4 linked regions of the Drosophila melanogaster genome follow. The protein of the gene in region 2 interacts with the protein of the main gene of each other region in a pairwise test. Each region holds a gene or a part of one and is shown on either strand. Other genes may lie near its edges.

The links.
Region 1: the proteins of CG17186 (region 2) and CG14535 interact in a two-hybrid assay, tested with the Drosophila melanogaster proteins (one large-scale study listed by BioGRID).
Region 3: the proteins of CG17186 (region 2) and toe interact in a two-hybrid assay, tested with the Drosophila melanogaster proteins (one large-scale study listed by BioGRID).
Region 4: the proteins of CG17186 (region 2) and CG8204 interact in a two-hybrid assay, tested with the Drosophila melanogaster proteins (one large-scale study listed by BioGRID).

The regions. Positions count from the first base shown.
Region 1 is NT_033779.5:7,851,584-7,858,218, reverse strand, and holds the start of CG14535 (uncharacterized protein), read left to right. Parts: upstream 1-2,743; 5' UTR 2,744-3,195; intron 3,196-4,852; 5' UTR 4,853-4,917; coding exon 4,918-5,262; intron 5,263-6,478; coding exon 6,479-6,635.
Region 2 is NT_033777.3:19,874,466-19,880,484, reverse strand, and holds CG17186 (uncharacterized protein), read left to right. Parts: upstream 1-2,970; 5' UTR 2,971-3,067; coding exon 3,068-3,143; intron 3,144-3,202; coding exon 3,203-4,272; 3' UTR 4,273-4,511; downstream 4,512-6,019. Other genes in the region: Ask1 (apoptotic signal-regulating kinase 1), read right to left, coding at 175-369, 442-561; Arc42 (Activator-recruited cofactor subunit 42), read right to left, coding at 1,235-2,208, 2,277-2,486, 2,574-2,607.
Region 3 is NT_037436.4:12,429,062-12,435,947, forward strand, and holds the start of toe (twin of eyg), read right to left. Parts: upstream 3,608-6,886; 5' UTR 3,253-3,607; coding exon 3,015-3,252; intron 1-3,014.
Region 4 is NT_033778.4:15,571,275-15,576,390, reverse strand, and holds CG8204 (uncharacterized protein), read left to right. Parts: upstream 1-2,399; 5' UTR 2,400-2,657; coding exon 2,658-2,725; intron 2,726-2,780; coding exon 2,781-2,941; intron 2,942-2,999; coding exon 3,000-3,202; 3' UTR 3,203-3,247; downstream 3,248-5,116. Other genes in the region: Cdk5 (Cyclin-dependent kinase 5), read left to right, coding at 5,089-5,116; CG30466 (uncharacterized protein), read right to left, coding at 3,465-3,578, 3,634-4,713.

The sequences.
Region 1 (6,635 bases), on a different chromosome or scaffold from region 2:
CTTAGTTATCGATAGAGATATCGATCCTGATACCGATTAACGATATATACGTGGTACATGATTTTCATCACAAACGCATTTTCAAGTAGGCAATTTATTCCAATTTCATATTGCACATTTCGCACACGATTTGTCATTAAATAGAATGTGCGAAGCACTCGAAATGCAACAAAAAAAAATGAAGATTAAAATGATACTCAAGTATATAATGTTAAAAACACAAAACATCAATGGCTAAATAAAAGTTTAACGAATTATCTGTACAAGATGGATTTCTTTTTGTATGTTTCACATTGCAAGTCTTAACATATGTGTACATATATTTATATATATCTGTTTACTATACATTTTCATTTGCCTCGCAAATGTATTTGAAATCAGAAGTACAAGAAGCAACCCACATGCCACCGTTATGTATAGAAACGCAACGCTGATCTACATGTTCGTATAGTGGCTCTCCAGGATTCCATTTCAAAAAAGGTGCTCTCTTTCCGGAGGACACAGATATGAAAACGCCCTTTTCAGCCAGATCACTAATGCCAATCATATAAGTGTTGTCTTTGCTTAGTTGCGAAACGATAGCATTAAAGTCTGCTTCATTTATAATTGAGGCTAGATTACCTCCCATCTTTTGACATGCGCTCAAAGCACTGGTCCAATTTTGTTGGACTATGTCTTCGATGTGCAAATATCTCGATCCGATTCGCTTGAACCTATGTAAAATATTTATTTTCGCAGACATATTCTTCAGCGACGTCGTTATACTAGTCAATGCTTCCTGTAGGTCAGATAGTTGACCCTCCATCTTAAGTTCTGACCTATTGGTTCTGTTCTCGATATCCTCTGCAATGATCTTCTTCCACGATTCCGTTAGCGATGTCTTCTGGCTTTCAATTTCTTTTTCAATATCCCTCTGTTGGGCCTGTATTTCTTGCAACTTGCAGGTTTTCCACTGTTCCTGGTGCTGGGCAATGTGACCGATCAATGGCATCAGCGCTTCGAGGCTTCGACACGATCTGTCTCCTCGCATCCTGAAGGTGATGCATTTATAACTATTGCGATAATTGCGTAATATAGGAGAACTTTCAGCTGGAACATGCTTAGCAAATTGAACCTCTTTAGACGAACGTTTATAATGCACTAAATGTGAATTCCTATGCTGCAGTCTGAACAGCAGCGCAATATTGTTGATAAGAATTTATAGATATAATATATATTTTACTGGAAAAATAAATATCATGCTAAGTATTTTCAGCTTACGCTAAAAATAAAAAATAATATAAGCTATAGTGATAATTATGACAACAGCGCAATATGAACAGCAGCGCAATATTGTTGATAAGAATTTATAGATATAATATATATTTTACTGGAAAAATAAATATCATGCTAAGTATTTTCAGCTTACGCTAAAAATAAAAAATAATATAAGCTATAGTGATAATTATGACAATACTTGGATTGAAATTATATATAAAAGCATATCATGAAAATATATTAAACAGTAGTACAGATAAGCAGGAACTTTTATGTTAAATATAGTTTAACGATTTCTTATTTTCATTGCATGTTAATGAACTCAAGATTCAAACTACAACGCCGTTGGCGTTGCCACGTTATGTTCGCCCGCCAGATGGCGCCGCAGCTAGCCTCCAAACTGTACGCAAGTGCTTCTCAAACTTTTTATCTCCATTCACCGAACTTGAGCTTTGTTTCGTTTATTTGCTTGCGTTTTATTTTCTTTGGCGCTTGGATTGCATACAATTTGATTTGCTCGATGCGGAAAAACGATTTTCACGGAATTTCCCTTAAGTATTAAGATAATTAGTAGCGAAACACCTTAAAACGGATTGGATTACAGCCCTTTTCCCGCAGCCACCTTAATAACAATCAGCCGGGTCCACTTTAATTGACCCGTTACCGTTGTCCACTTGGTGAAAAAAAATGGAAAAAAAGTAGAGGTAAATCCGTGCAAGCCCCATCCATTCCGGTGCACACATGCTTTTAAACCCGAACACACACTCAACAGCTCCTTCACGAGCCTGCCAAATGTAAGCGAACTTAAAAACACATCGTTTGCATTTGGCCCCTCTGCCCACCACTCACCCATCCCCATCCACGAAAAGCCCCATCATCACCTCACGCCCACTCTGCCCCCTGAAAAAGCCCCCTCCATCAGCAGAAACTCCAAGCGGCACTTAAGTGACGCTCCAGCAGCTCAACTATCACCATGTCCATATTCCTTTTATTCCAGGTACTCACGCAGAAAAAAGGTATATTGTATTTGTACTGTTGCATCCCAGAGGCGGTAAAAGCTATGGATTTCAATCTTTGAATGCTAACGCCTGCACTTTTAACTCAATTTTTGGGGATAACCAACTTTTAAGTATTTATAAAAAAGATTTTGTTATCTATTTCTTAAGCTATATATTCTTTTAATAGTTTAGTAATAGTGTTTAAAAATATTTAACAATGAGACCATACTTTATAAATTTTTTTTTTTTTTAAGTAAAACATATTTTTTGTATAATACATTACATTATTGTTTTAAGGTAAAGAAATAATGGTTACTAGCGTTTAAAGATCGAGTGACCATGGACATCTTCTAGTAAAGACGAGGTATCACTCTATTTTAATGTTCCTGGCCAGTGAGCATTTTGACGTCTACAATATAAACATCATTTACGCTGTTCCTTTTGTTTTAGCCTCGCTGATTTTGTTTACCTGAGCCTCAAAGCCACTGTCGTTGGCCGAAAGCAAGAGATTTTCCGAAAGAGAGTGAAAGAGTGAAAGTCCGACTACCCTTGGGGTCAGCAATGTGGCGTTACCATACGCGATTCGCTCTTTCTTCTGGCACGCCTGCGCCAAAGAGAGGCGGAAAACTCTTGGGAAATTCAGGCCCAGACCGAAGACCAAAACCGAAACCAAAAACCCGACTTCAGTTGCCATTGTAATGCCAACGCAATCGGCACGCGTTTGGCTTTCGCGCCTGGCGGGTTTTTTATTTATTATTCGCTAAAGTGACAAGCCAATACAAAAGAAAAACAACAAAGCTCGCTGAGAATCGGGGAAAATCCCAGTGTGTTGAATATAAAGTATAAATCATGTGCGAGGAAATCAAGGCAATTTGGAAAGTCGAAGGAGTTGAGCCAAAGATGAAATCAACAGCGAGAAATTGCCAGTCATAAAAAAAGGGTTTGTGTTTGTTCCTGTTTCGTGTGTGTTTGCGTGCCAGTGTGCTTGTGTGTGTGTGTTGTGCCAAAAGGGAAATCCCTTAACCCCCGCCTACCCGCTACCCCGCAGGACCCTTAACCCCTGACTTCAGCTAGACTCCCCTATTGTGCGTCGTGTACAATTAGAAGGCATTGCCAATCGATTTGTGTGAAAAGCCAAAGCTAAAACTCAAAAGGTGGACGACGCCAGTCCTCCAATAAAAAGCGAACTGAAACCGGGCAGGCAAAAAAAAAGTAAGGGACAAACCCATATAAAAGAATGGAAAAGCTGCCGAAGAAGTTCCCTCCAGTTGGCAGGTGCGCGTAGCCTGAAAAATGAAGTTGAACCGACCCGAAGTTGTTGCCTGTCATTCAAAGGGGATGGCAATGGAATGGCAATACAGAAGAGGCCAGCGTGTATGGAATGGGGAAATTGGGGCTGGGAATCGGGGGACAATATTAATGAAAGACGTTGCAAAAACGTCACGTTTTCCCCAGTCAAATTGAAATAATAATAATGAAGGCATTGAAGAAATGTCACGGCCCGCGACTGACAAGTAAAAATGAAGAAATCCAGTGGAATTTGCATGAATATCTCAAATATATGTAAAGTTCAGCACAACAAGTAAAGTTAATAATTTCAGTGATATAAAACATAACAAGCACGATAAGAAGCATGCCCCAAAAGCATGCCATTCCGATATCTAAGTTTGAGTGACACGCCTTAGAAAGCCCATCCCAAAGGAACATTTTAAAGATGTTCAGACAGTTCCTCAGAGAAATGAAATAATAACTTAATTAAACTCAAGAATAAAAAAATAAAAATTTAAAAGTTAATAAAGCTTTGCAAAAGCAACGGAACCTTTACCAGAAATATTGTGTGACTATAACAAATTTAAATTTAAGGTATTAGAAATTAAACCACATTTAAATATATAATCAATTCTAACAGTAATCATAGAAAAGTTTTTAATTAATTTTTTAATTAATACTGTAACTAAAGTCCTAATGTTTTCGGTAATAGAATGCAAAACCTCTAAAACACTTTATAGCTCCAACAAAGAACTGAAAATTGTTAAAAGTCTGGGCTTAAAACTTTTTTTAATGACCGAAAGGAACTTAAAAGCGTGTACATAAACTTTTCAAATAGAATTAAACTGATGTGAAATACGACAGTCCCAAAAGAACACTAGAAAGACAACGAAGCGCATAATTTCCCACCATAAAAGCCCAAGCAAATTCAACATAAATTTGATTTTATGCACAAGATGCTACAAGTGAATAAAACACGAGCTTAGTGACAGTGACAGTGCGAGCGTGATAGTGATGATAGTACAGTGAAGCATATGCCCAATAAACAGATGGCCCATAACCATAAAGCGAAAGTGTTATGGCCATTACCGAAGGGCAAGGACCCTTCTTGGCGGCAGGACCAAATAACTTATGCCCATCGGGCCGAACCGAAATCGCAATTTATGACAGGCCCAGCAACTATTTAAAGAACCATAAAACCCCCAAAAAACAAACAAAGTTTATGGGGAGTGACGATTGCATTTTAAGATCCCCAGACATAAAACAAAAGCCAGGATTTGGGCCTCTTATTAACTCCCAATTTTATTCGTTACCCCTCCCCACAAAAGGAAACGCAAGTGCTTCCAGCAATAAACTTCCACCGCCAACTGTGGCGAACAATAGTCAAGGAACCATGGCCACCACCAGTACGTCAAACATGTCCCGCAACGGTGGCTTCTGTGGTGCATTGCAGCGGGCACCGCCGCCGATGCCGCCGACCCTCATCCGACGCCTGAGTAGCCGGGAGTGCTACGGAGTGGGCAAGGTGAAGGTCATGCTGCGGGTGGCGGACCGGGACAGGAACTCCGGCGGAACCGAGCCGGACTTTATGGCCCTGGACAAGAAGAAGCGACAGGTCACGCTCACCGATCCGAGAACCGCGTGTCCGCCGCCCCAGGCTGCCCAGGAACGGGCGCCCATGGTGGCCGCTCCCAAAATGTTTGCATTCGATAACCTCTTCACTGGCGAGGATAAGCAGGTGAGTTTCAACCTTAACGAAAATCTGAATGGAGTGCACGTTCACACATGGATGTTGAACCAATTTATTTAAAGCATCCTTAGATCCAGAATAAGTTTAAGAAATAGGTATAAAACATCATAAGTATAACATCAATTAAATCAAGTTGAAATATTCTAAAAATCGTTTGAAAAATATGTAGTTAAAAGTATTAATTCTAATTTATTTAAATGTAAATAGCAAATTTGTTTAAATAATAACAAACAAGAGCAACCGTTACCAAGTAAACTAAATACTTGATTGGTTACTGTTGACACACAGTATAATTTAGGTGGCAAATAACCCTTATTAACAGCTATTAATTCTTGATAAACAAACAAAAGGCCCACCTAATAATAATAAGGGTAATACAATATTGACAATAAAACCATTCATTATGTACAAAAAACTACAAAACTTCCGGCAACTGAGAGTTAACACTTTGCCAGTGTACTTTGCTTTTCTCAAAATCAACAAAACTTTCCAGACTTCTCGCGATGTTATTTGTCTGCAGAAAAATGTCCCTAACGTAAATATTGAGTTGCAATTATAAAAGTTAAATTGACCGTGGGAATCCTTTTGTGAGAAGGGCACATCTGTGCATTATATGAATAATTTGGTGCAAACGATAAATGTCTGGATTTTTTGTCTCGAAGCTATGCCATTTAACTTGTTAAGAGATTACAAAAGAGGTGTTAGTAATTCCACAGAATAACAAGTCACCACAAAATACCACAATCAATCTTCATAATACATAGCAAGCAAAGTTCCTTTTCAAGATTTATGACCCTCCAAGTGCAATCACTCATAAGGCAATCCCTCAGACCGAACGAAAGAAATACCCCCAATAGAATTAACACATACGCGTATTGTCCTGCCCCATCGGATCTAATCAGCAATCGAATTAACCCCGCAATCGAACCCAATTCCAGCCATTAAAGAGAGCCCATTAGTATGCCTTGTTAGCCACCACCCACTGACCTCCACTCCACACCTATTCGTTTTCGATAAACACTAAGAAAAATGCTTGGTGCTTGTAAGGAAGGAAATTGGAAAATATCTTATATCATTTATATTTACTTATTGATACCCATTGAAACCATCATTATTATAAACTCCTATATATTACCATTTAGTTAAGTTCTTAAAAAAATGCCCAACCTTTTAACATTTTCTCTCTGTGCATCGTATATTCCAGTCGGATGTGTGTGCATCGGCGCTGAGCGAAGTGATACCCGCCGTGCTCGAAGGTTCCGATGGCTGCCTGCTGGCCATGGGATATCCCGCCACCGGCCAGGCCCAAACGGTGTTGGGAGAACTGGGCGGTGGTAGTGGGAGTGGCAGTGCCAGTGGCA
Region 2 (6,019 bases):
ATAAACTCAGTTCGCGTTGTGGAAGCTCGACTGTAGAAAGATCAGCAAGAACAACTAGTCCAGGAGTCCACGCAGTTGCTGGTCATAGCATTTATCTTATCGGAAGCGGATTCCCGATCACGAACGCAGATGTTTGCCAGGCACGCCCGGCCAGGTAAACACTTCCGAACGCACCTTGAGACTGAGCGTCTGCTTGGAATCGATGTCGTTGTAGGTGAGGATGTTCTCCTTCATCCCGAAGCTCTCCCTAACGCCGTAGTGATAGGAAAGCGGCCGCTGCTGGGTGAGAATGCTCAGGTCGATAATGGCCACATCGGCGTTGTAAAACGTCTCCAGCACATTCGTCTCGCCGAAGTCCAGGCGCTCGAACTGCAAGGATGCCAAGTGGGGGGGATGTAAGTCAAATCACCCATATGCCATTGTATAACCAAGCTGGCGCACCTGAACCCGCTGAAAGTTGGCGCCCGCCGACTGCACTGCCTGCTTGATCTCCTCCAGCGCACACTGGCGGTCCTCCAGATGGTCGCCCACCGCCGTATCCATTACACACACCACATCCATCGCTGTTTCCATCGCAGCTATTCTTGGCACTTTTCTGCTCTTGGACGGATTTCGCGCACTTCACGCGATTTCTGCACTTTCTGGACGGCCGACACGCGCAGCTCAGTGGCAAAAACTCTCATTACCACGTTCCTGCTGCACTTGCATCGCGTTAATTACCGCGTAACGAATAATTATCAAATAAATAAAGAAACTTTTTGCTTTTGCTGTGTGACCGCTGCACAGCTACCAGCAATATACCGAATGAAGTCACAAAAATACCACACAAATATGCTAACCGACAAAGCCTTGCTGCAGTTTTGGCGCCAAGTTCCCATTTTTTTGAGTCATTTAAAATTTGGTTTAAAAGATATAATATAATTAGGCATATAAAATAATAAGCTTTGTTTATAAATATATTTTAAAAGCACTTAAGGTTCATTATTTTAATTAATTTACAAATATGCAACGTCTAAAAAGTAGTCAAGAGTTTCACTTATTTTACTTTACTTTTTGAACGAAGATTTATTGTTTTGCTAACTTTTTCTAAAGAATTAAAATGTTGTAGGTGTTTTTTTCATGTATTTCTATCTATTATAAACAATTATACAACTCAATAGAACTAGCAAAATAGTATATTAAAAACGTTCTTTATTAAACGAGACACAAGTAGTACGGATATATAACTTTGATCTTAACTAGCATATTCCTTTAGAATGGAGCCCGCGATCACCAGTCGCTGGATTTCGGAGGTGCCCTCGTAGATCTCAGTGATGCGGGCGTCCCTGTAATGACGCTCGGCCGCCATGTCGGTCACGTAGCCCATTCCGCCCAGGATCTGGATACACTGGTGGGAGCACAAGGTGGCCGCCTCCGAGGCAGCCAGCTTGGCCATTGCAGCTTCTTTGGTGTAGGGCTGCTTTTGGTCCTTCAGCCAGGCGGCGCGCCAGGTGAGCAGACGTGCCGACTCCATGGCCAACGACATGTCCGCGATCTTTTGCTGGATGGACTGGAGCTTGGCAATGGGCTTGCCGAAGGCCTGTCGCTTCTGGGCGTAGTCCACGGCCAATTCGAGGGCAGCCTGACCAATGCCCAGCGCCTGGCCAGCGATTCCTATGCGGCCGGCGTCCAGCGTCTGCATGGCAATCTTGAAACCGAAACCCGGCTCGCCCAGCATGTTCTCCTTGGGCACCACGCAGTCCTCGAAAATTAGCTGGCACGTCGAAGATCCCCGGATGCCCAGCTTATCCTCCTTTTTGCCCAGCGAGAAGCCCTTGGTAGCCTTGGGCACAATGAATGCGGAGATGCCCTTGTGCTTCAGCTGCTTGTTGGTGGTGGCGAACACAATGGCTGCCTCCGCCTCGAAGGCATTTGTGATCCAGGCCTTGGTGCCATTCAGCACGAAGTGATCTCCCTTGTCGGTTGCTATGGTGGAAGCAGCTCCAGCATCGGATCCGTTTCCAGGTTCAGAGAGCGCGAAGCAGCCCACTCGTTCGCCGGTGGTAAACGGTGTGATGTAGTCCTTCTTCTGGGCATCGTTTCCGAAAGAGAGAAGCGGTCCCAGATACAGGGAGTTGTTCACCGACATGATGACGCCAGCAGAGGCACAGCCCCTTGAGATTTCCTCCATGGCAATGGCGTAGGCCACATAATCCAGTCCAGTGCCGCCTGATTAACAATAAAGAGATACAATGAGATACTATAAGGAGGGCTGAGGTGGGCGTAATATTAATTACCCAGCTCCTCGGGAATCGCTACTGCCATCACGCCCAGTTCGCCCATCTGGCGGATCTGTTTCTCTGGATACAGGTGCTCCCGATCGAACTTGGCTGCGTTTCCACTGAGCTCATTGTTGGCAAAGTCCCGGCAGGACTTCTGCAGCATCTGGTGCGTCTCCGAAAGCGCCGACAATGAGGCAATTTGACGAGCATTTAAAGATCTGCGGGCTGAATATCAATATCTGGTTTAGGATCTTGCTTATAGAAAACATTTAAATGGCTGGGGCTCAAAGTCCACACATCAGTTTGTCTTACCAATGCATAACGAGCGGGTGAGTACTGATTGCATGTTTGTGTGGGATTGCCTCTTACTAATAATAATTAAATATATTGCATAAAAGACGGATAAAATGTTATAAAAAAAACTCTACTATTACAAAAAATTAAAAATGGACAGTGTGACCAGAGGAGGTCACCGGCTGCATCTGCATGTAACAAGTGGTTCATCACAGGGTGACTCTTGTCCCGAATTTAACAAGTCGTCTTGTTACTAATTTAAAATTAAAATTAAAAATTACTAACTTTTCACTCATACGAAAACACTGATGGGTACTTTTAAAATGAAATAAACATAATTCCTAAGGTGCACGGAAATAAGATCCAACATGCCGCCTGAAAAATACTAAATTCCCAAATTCGTAAATTCTCGCGTGCATTCTACATTTTCAAGCTAAATAATGTTGGTACCATCAAATAATTGTTGATTTGTTTAGTTATTATTAAAAGAACGCAGACCAAACGAGGGAAATATGTCGCAGACATGCCAGAGAACGGAAACACTGACGATAGAGGCTCTAGATTTCATCTACGAGGACGAAATGGAATGTGAGTACCAATGAATACCTAAATGCCGGCTGAACTACGATTGATTTCGCTTTTTACAGACTTGCACCTAAAACAAGCGCCCAGAAAGGAGGAGCAAGTCAAGGCGGTGAAGATAAAGCGACTGACTTGCAACATAAACGGCTGCACTTACTCCACGGACCGGAGAAGAGACTTGAGGCGCCACAGGCGGTCGCAAAAGCACATGCTGCTGGAGTCCTGCTCTGACTCCGAGTCTGAGGTGGAATCGTCACTGTTCTCGTGCAACGTCTGCGGCTACAAGACCGCCAAACGGTATTGCTTCGACCGGCACAAGGAGTCGAGGCGCCACATAATGAAGGAGCAGGAGGAGTGCGAGAAGCTGATGGACGAGGCCGAGAGGGCGGAACCGGCGGTAAAACGCATAAAAAGAGTAGAGGAGCCAGCGCCCGCGGATGCGGAGAAAACACGATACACGGAAGACATCCTGACCACGTGCACGCCGTGTGACTACAGCACCACTCGAAAATCTCAATTCGAGATGCAAGCAAAAAGCCAGGCGAACATCGAGGTCGTGCAAAGCCAGCTGGAGGCTAATGAATACATACAGTATCTGCCCCAGGAGCAGGAACAGATGGTGGAGCTATCTGGGGAGTCTGGGGAGACCGAGGACGAATACCTCGCCTACAAGAAGGAGTGCAGGTGCACCCTGGAGTGCAAGCCCTGCGAATACAGAACGGCCAGGAGATTCTGCTTCGTTCGGCACATGCGATCGGCAAGGCATCTGGCCAAGATTCAAGCTGACCTTGATGGTCTGGAGGAAACTGAAGCTCTTGAGCCAGTAGAATACTTGGAAGCGGAAAATGAGCTGGAGGAGATTGATCACAGAGAGGAGAGAAATTTTGTGGAGGAGCTTGATATGGATGTTATGGAAGAGCCAGATGTTGTGGAGGATATACAGGATATAGATAAGCAAAACGGACTGGAAGAGATCAATCTAGTGGAGATCGACGAGGTGGTTCAAATAGATCCCGGCTTTGAAATGATAGAATATACAACTGCCGAAGAAAACGTTTACGAGGAGATCGTGTACCTGACCACCGAAGACAGTCCGGAGGATATTTCCTACTTCATCGCGCTGGACAATGCATAGATTTGTTAATTTCTCGACTCTTTGGTACTTTTAATTACATCGAAAGCCAACGAATTGTTAAATTACAATCAATGCAATAACCAAACTTTAGATATTAATGAACTGTATAAAAGTTTTTGACTCTTGATAAGCCAAAATTCTTGAATTAAGAAATATTTTAAATGTAAAGAATTGAAAAGCTATGAAAAGATTGTTTATTCGTTGTTACTACGAATAAAGAATATTGATTTTGAAATTTGAAAATTTTGAGTATTATTAATGTTATGTGTGAGTGAGTATCTTTGGAATTTTGTCGAAGTTTTGATGCTGCACAACACTACCAATTTTTACCGTTAAAAATGGCTTATACCAATTTTTATAATATAATAATAATAATAATAATTTCAAGCTTCCATGGAGAGAGTATTGAAACAGAATAGTTTCAATAGTCACCAATGACGGCAGGCACAATCGCGTGCGAGTGCGAATACTTTTGCGCGCCACTGTACATCTGGCAGTTTTCCATTCTGGTTTTGACAGCCCGCTTTTCATCTCTGCGCAGATTCGACGCGCACGCACTGGAACTTGTTTAACGTTTTTATGTTTTTCACTGCACAACTTTGTAAAATCAGCACACGACATTTAACACAGCGCACAATTATTTCCGTGTGTCCTGCGGGAGGGGAAGGACACGTTCACATTCATCAGCACTGAGAAGGAAAAGAGCACCACAGTAGGAGTCCCGTTTGTTGTCCTATTGATTTGCCCCCACTTTTTGGAGTTTTTCGTTGTTCCTTTTCGGCATCCACCGCCCCCGCTGCGCCCACGAAAGACAGGTAAAAACAAAGTGCAAGTGCTCCCAGTGTAAATATAAACAAAAGAGGTGAGATGTGATAACGCTCGCTCACTCTCTCTCTCTCTCTTTGGCGATCTCTCGATAATGCCGCGTGCACTGGTGTGCGTGGGTGTTCATCCAGGCGCCTATATAAAGGGCCGTTCATTCACGGCGAGCCCATTAAGTTTTAACGAGAAGCTGCCGCCAGATCCGTCAGGTGTAAAAGTACCGTGAGTCTTCGCCTCTAGGATTTTCCCATTTCTAAAAAGTGACGCGTGTGGAAAGCTAGTGACTAGTATCACTTACAGGAAGTTGTAAAAAACTAGTGCCATAAAAGTGATCTGAGCCAGTAAAAGTCTTAGATTATTGGCGGCTACAGAACAACAAAATATAAACTCCAATAAAAAGGATAAACATTGAATTAAGTAAAGTGCATTTAGACAAATTTGGATATTTAAAAAAGGAATGCTCAAAACGAACTATTGAATTCAGCAAAACATTATTAAAGTTTTTATTATTTGTTTTAAAAAATTTAGCAAAAATCAATCGCTTTTAATATGTGCACGGGATAAATACGTCAAAATAATCACTTTTAATATCGATGTTTTTTATTTGTATTTGATATTTGAATCCCAAAACTGGCAGAAACCAGGAATTGAACTTAAACTTATGCGCCACCATTGGATTTAAAACAAACATTTATGGGTCCAGTTTACCACTTTGCTTTTATCGCGGCCAAACAAACCGTTCGTGAAAAGTGCTGAAATAATAAAAGAACCGAAAGAGCGCAATCATCATGCGTCCACAATCTTTAGATTCCGCACATTAAGTGGCAGCCGATTGGTTTAGGAGGAACTAATAATAGTTTTAGTTGTAATCCCATTACAGCGGCACCTGTACAGGATACACGTACACCCCGACCAATGACCTGGC
Region 3 (6,886 bases), on a different chromosome or scaffold from region 2:
CGCTCTTCTTCTACATACTGTACACTGACATTTTTAATGGGTGTTTATCCTTATATGGATTAATATGTTAGTGAGATGCTTTCCTAGTATAGCCTTATATTCAGATGAGCGCTTAATTCGAAATAGAAGATATTATATGTTTTAAATATACATAAATATATAATAACATATGTGGTCTTGATTTATATTAAATCTGTTATTATAGTAAATTAATCGAGAGATAATAATTTAAAGGCCAAACATTATTTATGTATTGGTTTATATACAATACATATGTAAATGCTAGCTATTGCTGATTTAAATATATGTACATATACCTGCCTTTAAATGAGTGTTAATAATAGATCCCTCAAACTCGTACTCTTTCTTTGGACTCAGTATGCATTTTTCTCAGTGCATTCGTTCGCACGTCACCGTGAGACTTATAACAAGAAGCGATGCCGATCGGAGTTGGACTAAAGCTCGAACTCGAACTGGGGATCGCAGCTCGCCACAAGTGATGATCGCCTCGGAATTCAATTGATAGTTTGATTTATTGCTACCGGTAACTTTTTGCCGCTTCGTCCCCAGCCCCCCTCCACCCCTCTCCATCACCATCCATCCAGCCAGCCAGCGCATATAAATTAAAGTTGCTCGCTTTTTATGTGGCTCCTCGACGCATCCCCATCCCGATCTCCTCTAACCACATACCCATCCCAATCCCAATCCCAATCCCCTTCAGTTAGTGCTCGCTGATCTTGTTTGTCGCGCGCAGCGCATTACTCGTCCTCTGGAAAGCGAAGCTTCTGGTTTTTACTGCCAGTGCGCATTACTGCGATCTTCGCACATTTTCCTAAGCTCCAAGAATTTTGCGGCGGGGCGACGTGCTCTTACATAAGTCAGTCTAATTTTATGCCATCCTTTATTGGATTTCATTGTACGGCTCTGGCTTATGGTCCATGGCTATTAATTGTGGCTAACCAGTATGGTGCAAAAATGCAAATTGAAATAAAACACCTTTATCTTTTCACAGATGCATAATTGCTTTTTAATTGTGTATCTAATTTTGTATGTTTATCTCAACGATGATAAAACGTAGCCTTGGACAAATCTTTTGGGACTATTAAATTGGATTGAAAAAATATGGGTGTGTTCCGTATCACTTAAAATTTCAAAATTCATAGGAATATTAAAAAAGTAATGATGTTGTACGGGAATTAATCATTGAGGAGAACTGATATGAGTTTAGTTTGGAGATCTTTACATTGTGAGCTATACCAAATAAAGTTATGATATCTATTTCTAAAGGTAGCACACTTTAGTAAGTACTAATATTACTCTTTTTGCATATTGTTAGCAATGCCCAAAATGTCCTGAAATGGTGACCCCGATTCCTTAGCCGGAAGAATCACCATCTGGGCTGACACACATATTCGCCAACGTAACGCAAGTGGAGAGTAACGCAAGGAGTTCGGACCATGTGCATACGAAATGGCCAAACCTAACCATACCAAAAACCGAACTACATACAAACCATACCGAGCCCCAGCGAAACTGAGGCACTCCTCGGAATCATTGTGCACACCTTTTATACGCTTGGCTTTCTAAGAATAATGTGAATACACGCACCACGTAACCTGAGAGCCCTAAGTATGGTTTCTGCCCTATGCTTAAACTTCAATGTATGCCATGTACCTTCCACCCCCCTTCGATTCTCCCCCCCCCCCTTCTCACCTCTTTTTGGTGTCTCTTTTTCAGTGAGTCTCTACCTCTCGGGGCTCTTTTTATAATTATTTATTTATTGTGCAACTTCCAACACCTTCCAGAGACAAGTCAAAGCTTTGCTGTCCGCTGCGTCCCGCTTTTTCCATCCGGGGAATATACTCGTACTATGTGTGTGTGTATCTTGCAGATACATTCGATGGCCGCCGACGTGAACTAATTTTATTTGACAACCCATACTTGTGCAAAACAAATTGCCACTGATGTGCGAAAGACCAAAACAGTTGCCACAGCTCAGTTGTGTCTTGCTGCGTGTTGCTGCTGCTGCTGCTGCGTTGCTGTTGTGAAATTTCCAAATCATTGCACTGCTCCAGCATGCATTTGACTAGTGCCACCAGTTTCTTGTGCCCGGTTGGCTTTTGTTTTAAACTGTTTCGAGCCCCCGATTCCCGATTCCATGTCAGTTCACGGAATTCGCCCGAATCTTGCGGCTCACATGGAGCGTGCAGCAATAGCAGTGCCACAAGGGGCAACATTAGTAGTAAAATCAACTAAGAAACCAACGAACTTAACTTAAACGTTAGTGGAGATAAAACATTTGTAGTTCTCGTGCAAAATAAAAAAAAAAAACAATCAAACAATCGGAAAATCAATGAATTTAAAGGCTATTTAAGTTACTTTTAAAGCTTTGGTGCTAAAAATAATAAGACAAACCTGTATTTAAAAATTACAAAAATAATTTGCTGTACGTGAACAAATTAAAAAAAAAAACAATTTAAATAAAATTTTTAGGATTGGGCATTGTAAGAATTTAATTGGATGATAATACATTTTATATGCTGCTGACTTTAATAAAAGTTTATATTTTAAATCCTTATTATCCTTATAATCCTTATACTTGTTAGAAATATAATACAATATATTATTATATAAATATAATATAATGTAATTAGTAAACGAAAGAATGCATAGAAAGTTTCTCAGATGAATTCTGAATTGTATTTGGTTTTGAAAACTGAAAACTGTCAGTTATGATTTTTCATACGTTTTCCCATTCAAAAAATATTACTAAATTTTTTTTAAATAAAACTAACTACTCCTTTTCTGGATGAGCACATTTTCTTTAGAAACTCATATATGATACTTTTACTGAAACTTAAGCCTGTTAAAATTCAAATTAAAGTCGATAAAGTCATTAAAAAGTTTTTTTGTTAAATTAGAAAGGAGCGTTTTGTTCCAATCGAACTCGCATCAACAATAAATTAAAATGTGCCAAACAAGGCTTGTAAAATATTATTTATTTTAGCACTCACCTGTGGTAGCAGCCGTGGGCGAAACGGGCGTGATTGCCGCCGGCTGACCGACGCCTCCCGCGGAACTGCCCAGCAGTTGGAGATGCGACGGCAACGGCACGGCGGCCATGGGCATGATGGCGCCGGGGGATTGAGAGCCGGCGGTGGCGGTAGCGGGAATTGCGGGTGCTGCTCCTGGCAGGGAGACTCTAATGGCTGCAGTTGTCCTTGTGGGTCCGGGTGAGGTGCTGGTTGCCATGCCACGCTTCCAAAAATCTTCAAGCGCCAGCAATGCAATTGATGTGTTTGGCTATTTTTTTTTTCTCAGTGAACAACAGGCGGCATTTTGTGGGCTTTCTGTGTTTCACCGACGGTTTTTTTGAAAGGGATTATTTGTGAAATTTTTGTTTTTTTTTTGGCACGCCACTCGAAAACGCGCACCGAAACCGCTCGCTTGTGTTGCTGTTGCAAGTTGCACGTTGCTGCTTCTGTTGCTGCTTCTGTTGCGGCTGATGTTGCTGTTGCGTCGTGTTGTTGCTGCTGCTGCTGCTGCTGCTGCTCAACGCTCGCTGACTCGACGCGCACCGCACTTCGCACTCAAACTCAACGCCCGCCGACTCGCTGAATGAGACTGAACTCGGAGCCACCGGCAGCGCAATATCTTACTTGGCCAAAACCTGGATCGGGTTGCTATAGCTGTTGTGTTGCTGCATTCTGGTTTGCCTGTGCTTGTGGTCGGTTTGCCACTGAGCATTCAGCCGTGTTTTTTTTTTCCGCCTCTGAGTGTGTGTGTGTGTGTGGGGGGGTGCGTTAGTGTGTGTGTGCTCGCTTTGAGCGTCGCCCCATTGAGCAGTTTGCTGAGGAAATGAGAGGCAAAATCGGAGGTGGAAAAAAATATGCCGAGAAAAGCGTAGCAGTTGTAAAAGTTCAATAATTAATTACTCGGGCATTCGATTTCAGTGCATTGTTTATCAAAAACTTTCTGGCCCGAACTGCGCTACCAGTTGCTTTCGGCCTTTTAATTGAGCGGCGTTTTTGTTTGGTAATACATACGTGGTGTTGGCCAGTTGGAAAAGTTGTTATATGGAAATGCCGACACCACGAATCGGCTGTCAATCATCGATCACCAAAGGAAGCACTGAAAGAAACACTCAGCTTGAGTGATTTTAGGGAAAGTAAATAAAACACAATAAGATATGATATTATATGATATGCTGCCTAATCCTTTAATACAATTGGAAAATTGTGTCTATATAAAGATGTAATATTAAGTTCTATAATAATGTGCCATTAATGTTATTACAATTTTTATATATATTTGTTTTCTGACTATTGTATTGATTAATTCATGAGATAAACATTCAAAGGGCTGTAGGCGGTAAACTATTTAATATATCATGTTTGCATTTAAATACGTTTATATGTGATGTGTGCAAACTATACATAACAAAAAACAGTTTTCTCTTTATCCCAAAATCCGATAATTTTAAATCGTTTAAATTTAATATGAAATGTTAAATTTTTTTGCGTGATTCCCATATCCTTGGCTCCCGTACACTGAACCCCTTCTTCTTCTGTTTCTTCCCCAAAATCGAGGATGAGCAAAAAGCGCATTACACGGGACATTGGCGGACATTAGTGACTTGGCCGGACGAGAAACCAATGAATCCACGTTGGACGCGACTCCACTCATTTTGGCCAACCACCGCGGTGGTTACTAGCCAAGTGGGGTGTGCAGTTTGGGTGGCAAGGAGGTGGTAAGCAGCGACGTAACCGATTAACTAGGTGGAGAAAAAGAGAGCGAGATAAGGCTGCGCAGCAAAGGAGACAGAGCGAGAAGGAAAGCGCAATATGCATTGCGATTGCAGTGGAGTGACAGGAGCGGCACGAGGTGAAGATGGGTCGGCTAATTGATTTATTTCGCCCACTGTTCCCCTCTCACTCCCACTTGTTCGCTGGTTGGCTGAGTTACAGAAATCAGGAGCCGTGTAATAATGGCCGCCAACTTTTAAGTCTGTGTATGTACATATGCATGCATGTGTATTTGGGCCCTTTAACGTGAAATGATTTTTGCACAGCCAGAGGTGTTGTTATTGCAACTCCCCACTGCAGCGGCACTTCTCTATCCCCCCTTTCTTTTCCAGTGGGTGTGACAGAGAGGCGGCGAACGGACAACCTCCCACACTGATAATGGAAAATAATCAATTTTAATGGCCTATAATTTCGCAGCGCAAAATAACAATGATTCTACGGAGATAGAGAGGCACAAGTTTTGCCATTCAAAATGCACAGCCATGCACGCAGCGCACATAACTTTTGCCAACGCAGGCGTACTAATTTATTTATGTTGATAGAAGACCAGGCAAAAGTTGCTTCCACTAAAAAATATACATATATATGTATATATGACAAGAAAGAAAAAAAACAGATTAAAAGAGAGGGAGATCGCGTTGAGCTCGACTCACCTTCACCTTACATAATTTGAGACAAACTCAAGTTAGCTGGCCAACTGAGTGAGAGCGAGTGAGAGGCGTGTCTGAAGAGCAGACGCGCAGCTGCGCACTAGCTATAGAGTTGTCTTTCTTGCTCCCTTGGTAACTGGAATACCTAGTTATGCCCAATGGGAGAACACTAAGAAAACTCAAAGAAAGGCAAAGTGCCAGTGATTGTCAGAAGGGGGGGCTGAAAGGGGGCCTAGTGTTGATCGGATGTTAAGCAGCGGAATTAACTCGCGCTGCCCAGCCCCTCCACTTCCCCCTTCTGATTGATTTCGGCCTGCATGATTGATTAGATTAATAACGCGGCTAATTAAACATTTATCACTGTATCTAACAAACCGCCCGAGGGGGCGCAAATTAACCCTCCAAGACAACACAAATTATGCCTTCTGCTACAGGCCAACTTCTTTGAATACAACCTTGTTAATTTATTAATTTAAATCAGATAATATTTGTAAATTTAATGCACAAATTATAAAAGTTAGTAAGTATCCCAATAACTTTTTAATAAATGTATAATAAATTTAGTGCATTTACCTTGTTTAACATAAATACTAATGTTAAGATAGGATTTTCATTCAACAACAGTAAAACCATTTAAATTTTGTTTTGAAGAAAAAAGTAATTCATTCAATCATATCTATTTAGCCTATCTTTAATATAATATCTCTAGTTTTTGGTAGTAAGAATCTCGACCACGAACAAATAAAAGAAAAGCATTGTCTCAAAAAAACCTTCAAAATTAGTTGAAAAATCATGTTTTATATTAAATTTATAGTTTATATAATAAATGGAAATTCGGTTTAAGGGCGTTCGACTGTGTGCGACTATGTGCCTGCTTCTAATTGCGTTTCGTGCAACTTTTTCGGGGATGGGCGCATTAATTATGGCCGCCTTGGCTAACGCCTGCCGGCCGCCATTATTTCGGCAGCAAAGTGGCCAAGTTCCAGCCAGATAGCCATCTAGTATCTACATCCCAGCCCAAAGTTACCCAAAACTAAGAGCCCAGCCCCGTGTGCCGTGCATATTTGTGGTAGCCACGCTTCCTGTTTTTGTTTGCTCGCCTGTCCGTTTGCCCGCCGTCCGTTTGTCCGTATGTCCGTTGTCCGGCTGAAAATATTCCAAACAATGTAGACAAGAAGTGCTCAGGCCGGGCGGAGTTTTTGTGGCCATGGTTAGCGACGCGGTGGTGTTTACCCACATGTAGGCATATGCATATGCTGATTTCCACCAAGGCGGGGGTCATAGTCTTTTTTCTTTTTTTGAGGGGGGTTTGTGGTGGAGGAGTGGGCCGTCAGCTTGGTGAACCGTGAAAAACCCTGGGGTAGAACACTCCTCCAACCCAAACAGAGAAAGAGAATTTCGTAATGTTAACAAACAAATAGAAAATAACTT
Region 4 (5,116 bases), on a different chromosome or scaffold from region 2:
CCCCGGCATCCGTTCGGCATTTCGAATTATTTTCGAATCCATTTGATGACCCACTAGTCCACTATCTCCAATACTCCGGTGAATTCCAATCGAATATGCTTGCAGATGTCGCGTTTGCATGCCTGCTATCACCCAATATGAATCCAACTACCTGGAAGGACTACAGGCGATCATCGCTATACGGAAAATAACCATTATTAAAGATTAAGAATCTATGGGACATACAATCTCCACTTGACATGTTGCATAATAGATATATTTATAGGGATTTAAACCTTTGCTGTGCAACACTTTGTGGTTAGTATGATAAAAAACTGCCTCCACAAGAACCAAACCTTTTTGAAAAAAGTACATTCGCGCTAAGGAAGTTCGACTGCCAAAGCCATATGTGTTGCATGTAATTTAATATTCATTATATGCACTATAAACGCTGTGCCACTACGATTGCATGATCTGTCAATCTGCCCAATTGCCAGGACTATCTGCCCCCTTATTTTTCCACCTTCCAGTGTTTTCCTCGTTTGGCTTTTCGGGCGATAAAAACGAAGCGAAAAGTGCCGCTATCTATTAATATCGCTTTTGGCTTTTTCGCTGGCGGCTAGCTGGTAACTGGTAGTTGGTAGTTGGTAGTTGGTATTTGGTAACTGGGAAAAGCTGGGAATGAAAAACGCTGAAAACTCCTAACGAACGACACCTGCCCTCGGAAAATGCCACTACTGCACCCCGCGAGAAACTTTCGCCCCATTTGGTGGCGTGTGTCTCGCTTTTCTTCTTGCTGTTTGCATTGGTCGCCCCTTTTCCTTTTGGCGATACACTGCTGCTGATGTTGCACGAATGTTGTAAATCAAAAGTAGGCGAGTCACACGAAGGGTCTTCCTGCCCCCCCGAAATCCCTGCCACCGCCGATAGCCGCTGCTTGCCAGCGCCTCTGCTGCTGCGCCTATTTGACTGGCAGGCCGAGCGGATAACGCTGGCAATTATCGCGCTTGTGCCTCACGAACAGCGGAAGCGGCAGAGGCGCCACATCATGTTACCCGGCCCGATTCCCCAGACCTTCCACATCCCCAAACTCTTTGTTAGCCTGCATCCTTTGCTTTCTTTTGTACCACTCGTTTTTCTTTGTGCAATCCAATTGGTAGCGCTCAGAAAACAAAGCAAAAACGATTGAAAATAACAACAACCAGTCCCGGCTACAAGTCCCCCAAAATATGGCAACAGAAACAAGAAGAAAAAAAACGATTCATATACGAGTATAGCCATGCACCTAGACCACCCCATCCGGTCAGTCAGTCAGTCATTGAAGTCATTTATTGCCACCAAAAGTTTTTCGCTGTTTGCCATACCCTCGCAGAGGTTATTACGGCTCAGACTAGGAGCAGGACACGAAGGATCTCAATGGGTGTAGTTATCGTATACAGGACTGTAAGAAGTTATAACCCAATGACATTACCTATAGGACTATCATTATTATCAAATCTTAATGACACACATCTATATGTGTATATTTCATAGCTGAATATGGCCATATAAATGAGATGTTTCTCTTGCAACTAAACCTACTTTTTAGGACTATATATTGTGCATACACATAACACGTTTTCATTAGAAAGAAAGCTTAATAACAAAGGGCATTCCATGCTTCGGTTAACCAATCGAGCCTCACTGTTGTACTTATTTTTACTTCTGGTTGTACTGTACTTGTCTTTGGAGCTGGAGCGGATCTGAACGACTCCTTCCCGGGAAGGACCGTTCCGTTTCAGTACGTTCCGTGTGCAGGATATGTTTACAATTTGCGGACACGCCGACCGTCATTTGATTGCTCCCCTCGCGCTTGTCGAATTCTCGGTTAATTCGCCAGGTGGCTTCAGACTGCGCATTGCCATCGGCGGCGGGGGGAAAGGATTGGGAGGCTTTGGGGCGGAAAAATGGGAGGGCAATGATAAGCGTTCCTCGTTTGTTTGCTCGGAAGCCTCACGGAAGATGACGTGCCCGGGATGGCCCATAAATGAGACTGGCCAAAGCAAACAGACCGGATACACAGGATACATTCAATCAAATAAGGCTATTCGTAACCGGAAAAGGGCAGGACGACTCTATGTCTTCCTCAATCTGACCAAACACTCCGCTAATCGTATGGTTAATAACTAAAATACCTGTGGATAATCTTTAAACGTTTTCAATATGTAAGTCAGTGAGATACAGATACAGTAGATTGAAGCTTTCTGACTATATAAAGTATTTACTTATTTATGATGAGCAAAATTGAATGTTGATGATGAACATTTTATTTGTTCCAGCAAATTGTTCAAATTCAAATTAAAAGTAATGGCGCCAAAGATAGAATTCATCTGTTGACGAAGGCTGGCAGCTACAGAACAATCTAACTAAGCTATGGGATTCGTTTCAACACACTCGTCGTAGAACTCCACTAGTTTTGTTTTCTCACTAAATTAACATGCAGCCCCGCGATCTTATGCGCATTTTAATATTATTCTGCTTGCGTTTTGCATTTAACTTTTTGATTGTTTACCTCCAAAAACATAACGCCGTTCCAGTGGAGCAGAAACGGCTTGGAACCCTCGATAGAGGCAAAAGCTGGAGGCTATAAAACTCGCACAGCTGAGTTTTATTTTGCACGCGACATTGAATTTGATGAGATGGAAAAATGCATTATTTGCGTAGATAACTTGAGAAAATACAAGTGCAGCAAATGCTCGGCACCCTAGTAAGTAGCTATTCGAACAGTTCACTACGGAGATAATAAATGTCGCAAAATGTAGCTGCTCTGTGGCTTGTTATAAGACACACAGGGATTCGCCCCAATGTGCGACAAGGGAGTCCGACTTGAAAAAGACTGAAGTTGGCTACCAGGAGGAACCTACGCTTCATGTGCCCTTCCCCACCGACGACACAGTTGCCGCGGAGAAGCTCCAGCAACTAGGTAGGTGTTTAAATTCGCAATTATACACATTTCTCATAGTATGATGGTTTCCGTACAGAAAACTGCCAGGAACTGCGTAATTTGCTCCACAATCCACACCTGCGTTCGCTGCTCCAGCAGATTGATGTGGCCATCAATGCCCAGTCGGCCATGATGGCCGCCATGCAGGAGCCACTCTTCGTGGAGTTCGCTAATGCCTGCCTTCAAGTCGTCGAACCGATGACGGATGCTGAGCGCACTGAATTTGAGTTGTACTCCTGAATTAAGTTGACACACAGTCTCAATAAAACTAAGCCTTTATTTTGTAACTAATAGTACTGTCAATCCTTGGCAGCTTCTAGAGGAGCTTGCATTGAAGAACTCCTGGAAACTTCTCATTGAAATCCGCCGGTAAGGTTGAATCTTTTCCATAACCAGGGAAAACGTACAACTAATTATTTGGCTCGGCCATTTAAAGTTATCTATCTCAGCTGGCATATCAAACTAGTCATCAGTCTACAGCTTCGTTCCTTGGCAATCAAACTCAATCAAAGTAAATTGAAACTGGATCCGAGTTAAAAGTGATTTTTGGATGCTTCATGTGCAACTTGAAAAGCCTATGTTCCCCTTGCACTTTCCAGGTCATGGGGATGGGATCCTGTAATGAAAAATATTAGAAACGAAAGCTAATATAAGTTGTGAAATACTTAGACCTCATTAGACATGAGATACGTGTTTAGTTCCACATAAATATTAAGTGCTGTGGTACGGTTTTCTCCCAGTTTCTTCGCATCGAATGTGAACTCCTTAAATCCGAAGGTGCAATGGTATATACCCAGGACCTCGTGTGTGTTTAGGTTTTGTATTAAGGTATGAAACTTAATTTCGTCCACACAAACCGAATTTTGTATATAAAATTCATTGACATTAATGTGAAGATGCTGATACGCATGCATACCAAAATTAGCCACCTTTAGGGTCTTAATAGCCACATTTAAACCGTAAGTTTCACAAAATATGGATGTATTTTGGCTTATCTCGATCATATTTATAGTGCTTCTCTTCGCAGCTATGAGAATCTCTCTCAGAAATCCGTATCTAACGTGACCACAAAGAAATAGCTTCTTCAAGTGAGTTAGACGTTCCAGTTTCGATAGGAACCACACCATCATTTCCTCCTGGAAGCACTGCAGCTGCTCTAGGTTTCTAATCCCTTTCCAGGGCAGTTCTGTGTTCGAAATCTGGTCAATATCGAAGATACCCAGCTTCAGGGATTTTATTTTTCTGGTTTTCAGGATCTGTATCAAGTTGGTGACATTGAATTTGCTGCAGTAGGAGACCGTGAGGTTCTCGAGAAACTCGAATTCATCAAAGTGTTTGCCAGTAAACTTTCCATGGGGGCTAAAAGTTGTCAGATTTGGAAAAGTTTTCAACATTCTTGGCACGTCCGCATCGTTTAAGTTAAACGAATGCGTGGAAAATCGAAAATCTTTAAGTTTTGGAAAACTACAGCTGGTAAGTGTTTCGAAGTTAGATCTATTATTCATTTTGAGCCGCAGAGTGCTGAGGATTTGTTGAGTACTTTCCAGGAAGAATAGCAAATCCTTGTCGCTCAGCTGCATTTCAATCAAGGATATATATGCACATTTGTTATAAGCACGCCACACATACGGCATTAATTTCTTAAACCGGAAATGAAAGTCTTTCAGTTTTAGTTGGGTCTTCAAGTCGAGATAACTTAGAATTATCATTAGAACATCATCGGGCAGACATAGTAAGCCAGGCTTGGTATTCTGCAAAGGGCAAAAGAAATTAGGAAACTTGTATACTTATATTTCTGCTATATTGTTGCATTGCGGTACCATAAGATCGGTGTTTATCATTGTCGGTCTATATTCGTATGTTTAGCTAATATCGAGTCCAAATAAAACAATAAAATTATAACAAAAGTTTTATCAACATTTTTAAAATGATATCTGTTAATTTTGAGTATTTTTGGTGACAGCAGACTGTCAGCTGCGATGTTGGTTAGTCACCGCGTGCTGTAAGCGAATAACAGTGTGCTGTTAGGCGCACGAATCCCTGGCCAGCAAAAACAAACTGCAAAAACAATAATCCCCGGAGTTTTCCATCTGAACGCAAAATAATACACACCAAAACACAGCAAAATGCAGAAGTACGATAAAATGGAGAAGA